2 linked regions of the Coturnix japonica genome follow. The protein of the gene in region 2 binds, or shares a complex with, the protein of the main gene of each other region. Links are inferred from orthologs where the notes say so. Each region holds a gene or a part of one and is shown on either strand. Other genes may lie near its edges.

The links.
Region 1: the proteins of RHO (region 2) and SAG are in contact, whole or in part, in a crystal structure (PDB 4PXF), measured with the Bos taurus proteins. The link is inferred for Coturnix japonica from reciprocal best matches to the Homo sapiens genes RHO and SAG. Residues at the interface, in NP_001014890.1 of Bos taurus: Arg135, Val138, Val139, Lys141, Leu226, Glu249, Val250, Met253, Met309, Asn310, Lys311, Gln312; in XP_010802144.1 of Bos taurus: Asp71, Ile72, Met75, Gly76, Leu77.

The regions. Positions count from the first base shown.
Region 1 is NC_029524.1:1,894,794-1,899,389, reverse strand, and holds the start of SAG (S-arrestin), read left to right. Parts: upstream 1-1,742; 5' UTR 1,743-1,757; coding exon 1,758-1,941; intron 1,942-2,028; coding exon 2,029-2,073; intron 2,074-2,222; coding exon 2,223-2,416; intron 2,417-2,970; coding exon 2,971-3,030; intron 3,031-3,545; coding exon 3,546-3,613; intron 3,614-3,754; coding exon 3,755-3,890; intron 3,891-4,215; coding exon 4,216-4,300; intron 4,301-4,596. UniProt on the Homo sapiens protein: Binds to photoactivated, phosphorylated RHO and terminates RHO signaling via G-proteins by competing with G-proteins for the same binding site on RHO. May play a role in preventing light-dependent degeneration of retinal photoreceptor cells.
Region 2 is NC_029527.1:16,836,719-16,841,201, reverse strand, and holds the start of RHO (rhodopsin), read right to left. Parts: upstream 2,846-4,483; 5' UTR 484-2,845; coding exon 123-483; intron 1-122. UniProt on the Homo sapiens protein: Photoreceptor required for image-forming vision at low light intensity. Required for photoreceptor cell viability after birth.

The sequences.
Region 1 (4,596 bases), on a different chromosome or scaffold from region 2:
ATTACTCGTGTATCACGGAATCATAGGGGTTGGATGGGGCCACTGGAAACCATCTCGACCAAAACCCCGCTAAAGTAGGTTGCCCAGGAAACATTCAGGAAGGTTTTGAACATCTCCAGAGAAGGAGACTCCGCCGCCTCTGCAGGCAACCTGTGTCAGAGCTGTTACCATCACTGCAAAGAAGCCTCACATTTTTATGGACTTTCCTGTGTTCCAAATTGTGCCCACTGCACCTTGTCCTGCATACCACTGTTCAGGGTCTTAAACTGAGCGTGCTGGCTCCAAGATGTGGATGCATCAGGGGTTCTAAAATAGCATCAACAGCATGCTCTGTTTCCTAATAACTTCCCTGCTTACCGCAAGACTTTCTTCCTATGAGGTAGAAACTATAACTGCGCATATCAGACAGCGGTTGTATTTTCCTTGTGTGTGATACTTTGCACTCACTGCCATGGTGTTTGAGCACCTCCCCACTCTGCTTGGTGAAGCACTCCTCTAACTTAGCACAGACAACCTTTTTTTTTTCATGTTCTCATTTCTTCACTCCTTATCTAGGCTCCTTTGCGTTCACACAGGGCTACGTTCAGTGGCAGATGTTCCAGGACATCCAAGACTTTGTTCATTAGCAAACGTCCCAGGACAGGTGAAAGAGCTCTAGTGTACGCTTGCAATAGTGAAAAATAAATCCCAAACCTGAAAGTAGCCAAAATCCACATAAATTGTATTCCTTATTTCCTGTATCCTATCTAGTTATTGACTGAGATTGACCTGCCTTCTTGACTCATGACAATGTAGAGCCTCTGGTGACAAACCTTCTGAAAACTGAAGTGCCTGTCTAGATCAGATCAGCTTTATCTCTACTTGTGTACTCCGCGGAAAGTCTCTCTTCAAATCTATCTGTAAAGGCCAAGCTACCTCTTTGCCTCTGGATTTTTTTAACTGGCCATATAATGTTTTGAATGACAGAAAAAAAAGTCCTCGGTCTCCTGCAATGTTTCTGAAGAGCTGCCCCCTTATACGGAGACCACCTTTGTATTGAACTCAAGCATCCATTGGGAGAGTCAGATTGGCAAACTAGAATGTTTTACCCAACTGTTGTGCCTACATTTTTACCTCATCCTTTTTTCTTTTTCACCCTCACCTCTGATGTCTCTCCCAGGAACCTTTGAGTCTCCCAGGATTCTTTGAGGGAGAAGAAGTTTGTTCATCCATAGTTACCTACTTGTTCATTGGTCATGAGCTGCCCCGAATCTCAGAAGACAGGGAAGAATGCTGATTCCACTCCAAAACAAGTTATCTTCAAGAAAAGCTCCCGTGACAAAGCTGTAAGTACCGTCATAATGGGTGGAAATAGGTACGAGTTTCACATGTAGTCGAGATGAAGACTTAATACAAACCTCTTTCCTGTCCTCTCATTTTTCTGAAGAAGGACCCATGACCCATATTTAGTGTGTATTTAGGAGACAGTGTAAACAAAGCTCATATGGGAGAGCTGCTTGTGGTCTTGCATAAAAGGCAACTCTCATTCCCCCAGGTTGCAGTCCTGCTGGTAAATGTATGAACCAAAAGTGACTCACTGTTTGGTAGTGAATCTGATGGCATCAGAAATATTTACATCCATAGCTCTGTCCCATCTGCAGGTATTTGTGTTTTACTTCTTGGAGCTGTTGCACGTTGGCTCCAATCTCCTGTTGTCCCAAAGCGTGTGGATTGTCCTGAGCCCGGTGTAGGTTGTTTGGTGGGGAGGAAAAATAAACATGCTTAAAATGGGATTGCTCCATTCTCTAAGTAATTTACTGTTCCATACTACATCCTCCCACTCCACGAGCACACAACCATCAACACTTTGTAGTTCAACCATGGTCACCTTTTCCCTACAGCTGACCATCTACCTGGGAAAGCGTGACTTCATTGACAACATAGGGAATGTGGAACCTGTGGGTAAGTCCACAAGTGTGCACGCTGCCCTTCCTGCTCTCCTAAGCCTGATTATCCTCTGGTAATCCTTTTAATTTTCCTTTCTTTCAGATGGTGTTGTATTGGTGGATCCTACAGCGATCAAGGGGAAAAAAGGTTTGAGGCTTTATGCAATACAGGTTTTTACTCAAAGAAATGTGTCTAGAAACTTAAAATATGAATACTAACTGGGTTACACAACAGTGTTGAAAGGAGTTTCCATGACTAGTGCAGGATTTTACATGGCTGGCTGTGTTTCCTTCCAGTGTACGTGACTCTGACCTGTGCTTTCCGGTATGGTCAGGAGGACATTGACGTGATTGGCCTCACCTTCCGGAGAGACCTGTTCTTCTCTAGGGTCCAGGTGTACCCACCTGAAAACAAGTCAGAGTCTCTCTCCCACCTGCAGGAATCTCTGCTAAAGAAGCTGGGGAAAAATGCTTACCCCTTTTTCTTTACAGTGAGTATCTCTTAAGAGCTCCTGACCCTCTTTTCTGCAGCCTTTCTTGTTGGTGAAGCTGTTGACCCTGTGCAGACCAGCAGCAAATGGACACTGCCTGGAGGCTGGCTGGTTTAACAGCCATTAATGGCTGTGTTTCTGGAACAGAGATGCCTTGCTTGAGCTTCAAGCCTGTGTGAACAGTGACTGGCACCACTGTGAGCCATGTTGATGATCCTGGATGGGAGCCAGATATCCCAGCCTCTAATCTGCATCTCCAGTGCTCTAGTGTTTGGTTATAAACCCAGGAGCTCTATGTTTCTGGGCCTCTTTTTACTTTTTTTCTGTGTTTTCTCAGTTGTTAGTATTCTAAGTCCCTTTCTTCCTATAAGGCTTTGTTCATGTATGGTAAGCAATAACACCCAGCTTCTCTCTGAGCTGGAACTTCACAGGGTTGCTGTATGTACATGACCTATTGTCTTCGGGGCTATGTTGTACCTTTTGTGAGCAGTAAGTTAATTCGGATATCACAGTAATCTGCATAATATTGCTCTGGGTTCTTTTTGTTCCCACAGTTCCCAGATTACCTGCCTTGTTCAGTCTGTTTGCAGCCTTCACCTCGTGATGTTGATAAGGTGAGACTGGTGCACTGGTGTTTGCCATGGACTTTGCTGTGCCACGAATGTCAGGAACCTGACTGTAAGAGCTACAGGTGGAATTCAATTCCTCAAAATAAGGAAGACAATCTAGCTCAATAGCTGCAAGGCTGTGCTAAATCTGCAGTGCTTGCCATTTCCTTAAGGGTAACAGAGAAGATCTGTTTCGTATGTGTGTATCAATAAAAACCAGCCTCTGGAGGACATATCACCAAACAGTGAGATGTTCTGCTAGGTTTCTGACATTTAAAACAGTCCTCCTGTACTTCACAGGATGCTTCTCTGAACAGCTGGGCTAGGCCTAAAGCCAGGTATAGCAATATAAACTTTGTAGCATGGAGCAGGTGGATGCTGACACACACCAGGTGTGTCATAGGCCAGAAGAATTTGCAGTTGTCAGGAATCCACCAGTTTCTAGGACACAGAAAGATGCTTGAACATCTGCAGGTGTGGCTTGTGACGCTGGTTTCACAGCTGTCCTCTCTCTCTGGCAGAGCTGCGGGGTGGACTTCGAGGTGAAAGCTTTTTCAACAGAGAATTTGGAAGAGAGAGTTCATAAGAGGTAACAGCACAGTATTAATGTATGTCTTCATTGTTCCACTTGTCGGTGGACTTCTTGAGTTTAACTAAGCCTGTGTGAGTGCAAAACTCCTGCCTCAGCCAAACACAAGGTACCATCCTGGCATCTTCTGCTGCTTCCCAGGAACTCCGCACGGCTGCTGATCCGTAAAGTGCAGTTTGCTCCAGAAGAACCAGGACCCCAACCATGCGCGGAGACCACGTGGCAGTTCTTCATGTCCAACAAGCCACTGCACCTGAAAGCCTCCCTCAGTAAAGAGGTGAGGAGTTTGCCCCTGAGATGTGGACGTGGTTGTACTTCAATACCCATATGCATTTTGTTACCCAAACAGCTGTTTTCTGTGTTACCAGACTCTGTCTCAGCTGATCCAGCTTTGTCCTAATTTTCTAATGTGATATTTTGTTAGTAGTTTCTGCTAGAGGAAAGAGGGACACTGTTATCAGAGTCATTTGAGGCCAAGGTGGGCATTGGAGACAGGATTGGGAAGGGTCACCTTACTTTATCTGGCCTCTGTGGGGATCTGAGTGGTTTATGGCCTGGGAGAAGCTTTCTGACTGGGTTTTTGAGCATCAGTTTCCCCCTAGGTGTACTACCATGGTGAGCCCATTCCAGTCACTGTCATGGTCAACAACAGCACAGAGAAAACAGTGAAGAAGATCAAAGTCCAGGGTATGTTATTTTTTACGATTGCTTGGATTCTTTTAGGACAAGAAGGCCATGGTGGGAGGGCTGGAAGAGCCAGAATTTAGTGCTTGTAGACTGCCTAGGCGGGCAGTAGGGAGTGCATCAGGAATTCATCCCTCCTCCCCATCTGTTGCTGTTTGTTTGCTGCTATTCATCAAGCAAAACACTGCGCCTTTTCTCCTGACTCATGGTTATTTGCCTGGCTTAATTTCAGGCCCCAGTGTGTCATGTCTATGCAGGAAAGGACTGGCATTGTGGCAAGCAAGGCAGGTCTTCCCCCA
Region 2 (4,483 bases):
GCCCATAGCAGCAGCAGGGCCTGGTACACACCACCCAGCTTCCCAGGAGCAGCCGCACGTTATCCCCCCCCCTAAAACCTGGGGAAATTTCTGTCAGATTTTTGAAAATATAGAGAACTCACCGCCCAGCGTAGCAAAGAAGCCCTCAATGTAGCACCCTGTTACTCCAAAGACAAAGTACCCGTTCATCGAGGTGTACATGGTGGTCGTGAAGCCTCCAAAGACCATGAAGAGGTCGGCGACCGCCAGGTTCAGGAGGATGTAGTTTAGAGGCGTCCGGAGTTTCTTGTGCTGGATGGTGACGTACAGTGTGAGGAAGTTGACAGGGAACCCAAGCAGGATCAGCATGAACATGTAGGCAGCCAGTGCCGAGAACTTCCAGGGCTCAGCCAGGTAGTACTGGGGGTACTCGAAGGGGCTTCGCACCACCCCCGTCTTGTTGGACATGGGCACGTAGAAGTCTTGGCCTTCCGTCCCATTCATGGCTGCGGTTTGTGGGGCGCCTCTCAGTCAGACTCAGCGTCAGTTTCTTGTGTGTGGGGAATCACCCCTGCAGTTGGGCTCCCACTGCTGCTCAGCCTTCGCCGTCTCCCTGCAGAGAAGCAGCTGTAGGGCGTCACTTATAAAGTGCCCCCTGCAGTAAGCTCCAGGCGTCAGTGTCAGCACGATTAGGACTTAGAGAGTTATTAATCATAATCATCCAGGGGTAATTGGCTTTTCTGGGTGGGTATTAAGGTGACACCTGTTTCTGGCCCATGCTGTCATTGTTGGAGACCATGGTTCATGGTCATACATAGACAGGTAGCTCTGCACTGCTTGTGTGGGAGCCTAAACCAGAGGGCAGCCCCACCTGCAAGCATCGCTCCCCAGTGTTCTGTGCCACTGCCTGAAGGCTCAGTGCCTGCTGCTTGGGCCCAGCGCACTCACTGCATGCTGCGGTCTGGGCTGGACGCCTGCTGCCCATACTGCCCGTGCCCCACAGAGTGCCCCATCAGCACATCACAGGCTGCAGCGCCCATCAGTTCAAAATGCCTCAGTTTACCCACACAGGGATATGGGAAGTGGGACATGTTACCACCAGGCCCACAGGCAGAGAGTGCCAGAGAAAGACAAAGCACACAAGATCCTTCTTGTGGTTGCACTCAACCAAAGTAAGCAGGAGTGAATTTTGTGTTTTAGGCACTGCAGCGGCCGCTGGGCTGGATGTGCTTGGTGCATTCGTTCCATAGCAGGGGCCTGTTCTTCCAGCAGGACTGCAGCGCTGTGACAGCAGCCTGGTCCGTCACAGCTGCCATTCGCAGGGTAGGCTGATGAAATAGACTTCTTCGATGTGCTCTCTGCCACCTGCTTTTTGTGCTGCAAAATTTGTCTGGAAAGGTTTGAACAACACAGTGAAGCACTGATCCTGCTAGCAGATTTCCACTCGCATCACCTTCTCTGTTCTTGGCTTTATACACATGTTGCATCATGGCAGCTACATCGGCAGCACATAAAAAATAACCTCATCCACCTGTCCTGGACAGATATTGTGCTGCCTTGATCCATAGAAGGGCTGTGGACAAGGCACAAGTTCTGAGCTGAAGCCAACATTTGACCTCTTATTCTGGTGACAGACATCTTTAGTGTCCTTGAAACCTTCTGAAAGTGATGAATTCCATGTAAATGGGCATTAGAGCTGCAGGAGAAGCTGCTGTTGGATCTGTCTTCCTACCTGATGTGCCCAGTGTTGCTTGGAACATTCTTTGTGCCAGTCAGCAACTGTTAGATGTTATCTGTTCTTGACTTTTCAGAAACAATGGGACAGCATGTGCAGCAAGGGGAACAAAGTGGAGCCTTCCACAATCTCTTTGCTGAACAAGGTTATTCTTTGTAGTTCACACCATTGTGATTAGTCTTTGAGCTTCCAAAGCTATTTTGCCCCCATCTCTTCCCTTTTTTGCATCCTCCGTTTATCACTTTTCTATGTCAATGCAGCCAAGAGCAGAGGAGAGGTACCTGAGTGCTCCATACAGTGCAGGGGGGAATGCACCAGGCCTGGAGCTCACAGGTGAGAGATGGGCAAGGGCTTGTGTCACTTTGGCCTTAATAAGCCAGCTTCAATTCTTGCCATGTTTTTACCAGTGTTCCCTGCAAGTTAGTTCAGTGCATGCAAAACAGTTCAAAGGGAGAACGCAGAAAGCTTTGTGTTCTCTTCAAACAGAAGACCAAGCAGAGAAACTCGTCCTCTGTGTGGGGAACATTTGACAGAAGCATTACTACCACTGAAAGCCTGGCTTCCCATAACTAAAGGTGGGCCTTGATTGCCCCAAAGTCCTCCTGCTGTCAGTGTGCAAATGCCACCTTCCCACACATCCTCTTCTGGAACTAAGTCCCTCCCAGTTAACTTTTCATGTGTTGCCAAGACCGGAGAAGTGCCTCTAGCTAATTGCAGATGAAGCTATTCGTATCTGTACCTGGGCACATCAGATTACGGGTTTATCTTCCCAATACACAAATATGCCACGTAAAGCTCTGATGCAATAAGCCCCTGCTGAGGTTAGCAGCTGCTGTTCTAAGCTTAGGACTGACATGCGTCACCGCAGGGGTCCAGCAGTGGGAAAGGCAGGTAGTGAGTGGTGCCAAGGCAGAAGTGCAGGGCAAATGGAAGAGAACAGTTGGTGAACCGCCCACAAAAGCTTCAGAACAAGGCTTCGTGGTGGGACTTCTGCACATGCAGGGCCTTCTCATCACGAAGTCAGCAGGGAGCTCCAGTGGTACGAGGCATCCTGGAGCTGAACATCTTTCCAATATACGAGATGTGTGGAGCACAGCTCTGCCTGGAAAAGCCCAGCACTTCTTTCAGACCCAGACCATATTCACAAAAAAAATATAAATAAATAAATAAGTGAAGCTCCCCCATTTGATCCATTTTGTCTCTGTGTAATTACAAGCCTTGTCTATTTATTTCTATAATTTTTCATTCCTGATAGCTCTGCAAAGCCAGCTCATTTCAGGGAGAATGAGCTGAATTCCATTCTGGCTCACATATCAAAGAGTGTTGTTTATCAATGTCAGTTGCAACGTCTTTATTGCAAACAGTGATGTATGAGTCAGAAAGCAGACAAGCACTAATTAGAACAGAATGTTTTTAAAGTGGTAAATTAAGCAAATTTAGTCAGGAACCGTTGAGAGACTCAGAAACCCTGCAGTGCCATTGGATAGAATCACAGCACGGTTGGGTCAGAAGGGACCTCACAGCCCCCAGCCCCACCCCACCATGGGCTGCCCCTCCAGCTTGGACTACCCAGGGCCCACCAGGGATGGGCAGCACTGCCGAGGCCTCACTACCCCAACAGTAAAAAACATCTTCCCAGAAGCTAATCTAAGACCACCATCTTTTACATTAGAGCCTTTTTACCCCTTGTCCTATCGCTACACTCCCTGATAGAGCCCCTCCCCAGCTCTCCTGTAGGTCTCTTTTAGGTACTGGGAGGCCACAGTCCCCAGAGTCTCCTCCAGCCCTAACAGCTCCAGCTCTCAGCCTGGCTCCACAGCAGAGGTGCTCCAGCCCCTGAGCATCCTCCCAGCTCCTCTGGCCCCACTCCAACAGCTCCGTGTCCTTCTGACATTGGGGGCTGATTGCAGCACTGCAGGTGGGGCCTCACAGGAGCACAGATTTCAAAGCTTTACTTTCCAGGGGAACTCAGGCATACACTGCCATCACATCAAAGTGCTGCTGTTCACACGGTAGCTGTTTTACCAGCAGCTGCCAATCTCAGCTAATAGTTTAATACAATAAAGTAAAATATAATTTCCCAACCGAAACAAAGAAAGACTTATGGCAGAGAAAATGTCATAACAAAATTTATGCTAAGGAGGGCACAATTCAAACTGGATTTACAGTTACTGGATTTTACAGACAATTTAAAGTCAAGAAACCTATCACTTCTCCATTCAAACCCAGCCCAGCTGGTTGCCCACACAAATTCTCAAGCTCTTGCAGAACGACTCAGTGAACACTCTCTAGAGATTCAATTATACAGGAATATTTCTGTGTACTGAGACTGGCTGGAATAGAGTTAATGTTCTTCAGAGCAGCCCATGTGGAGCTGTGCGCTGGATTTGCAACTAAAAACAGTCTTGACAAAACATCAGTGCTTTAACTATTGTTGAGAACTGCTGGCAGTGTTTAAGGTTTTTGTTGATCCCCACTTTGCTGCCCAGCAATGGGCCAGAGGTGGACAAGGAGCTGGGAGAGTTCACAACCAGGACTGCTGAGCCGAAGGGTGTTCCATGCCCAGTGACATCATGCTCATCTTCCCATGTTAACATTACTCACATTGAGGCCATGCTTTCCAGGAAGTGTTGGACATCTGCCTGTCACGGGGAAGTAATGAATAAATTTGTCATTGTTTTGCTTGTAAACATAGCTTTGCTTACGAAACTACCTTTATGTTGACCCACAAGCTTTTCCACTTTGGCTCTTTTGATTCTCTCCTGCTCT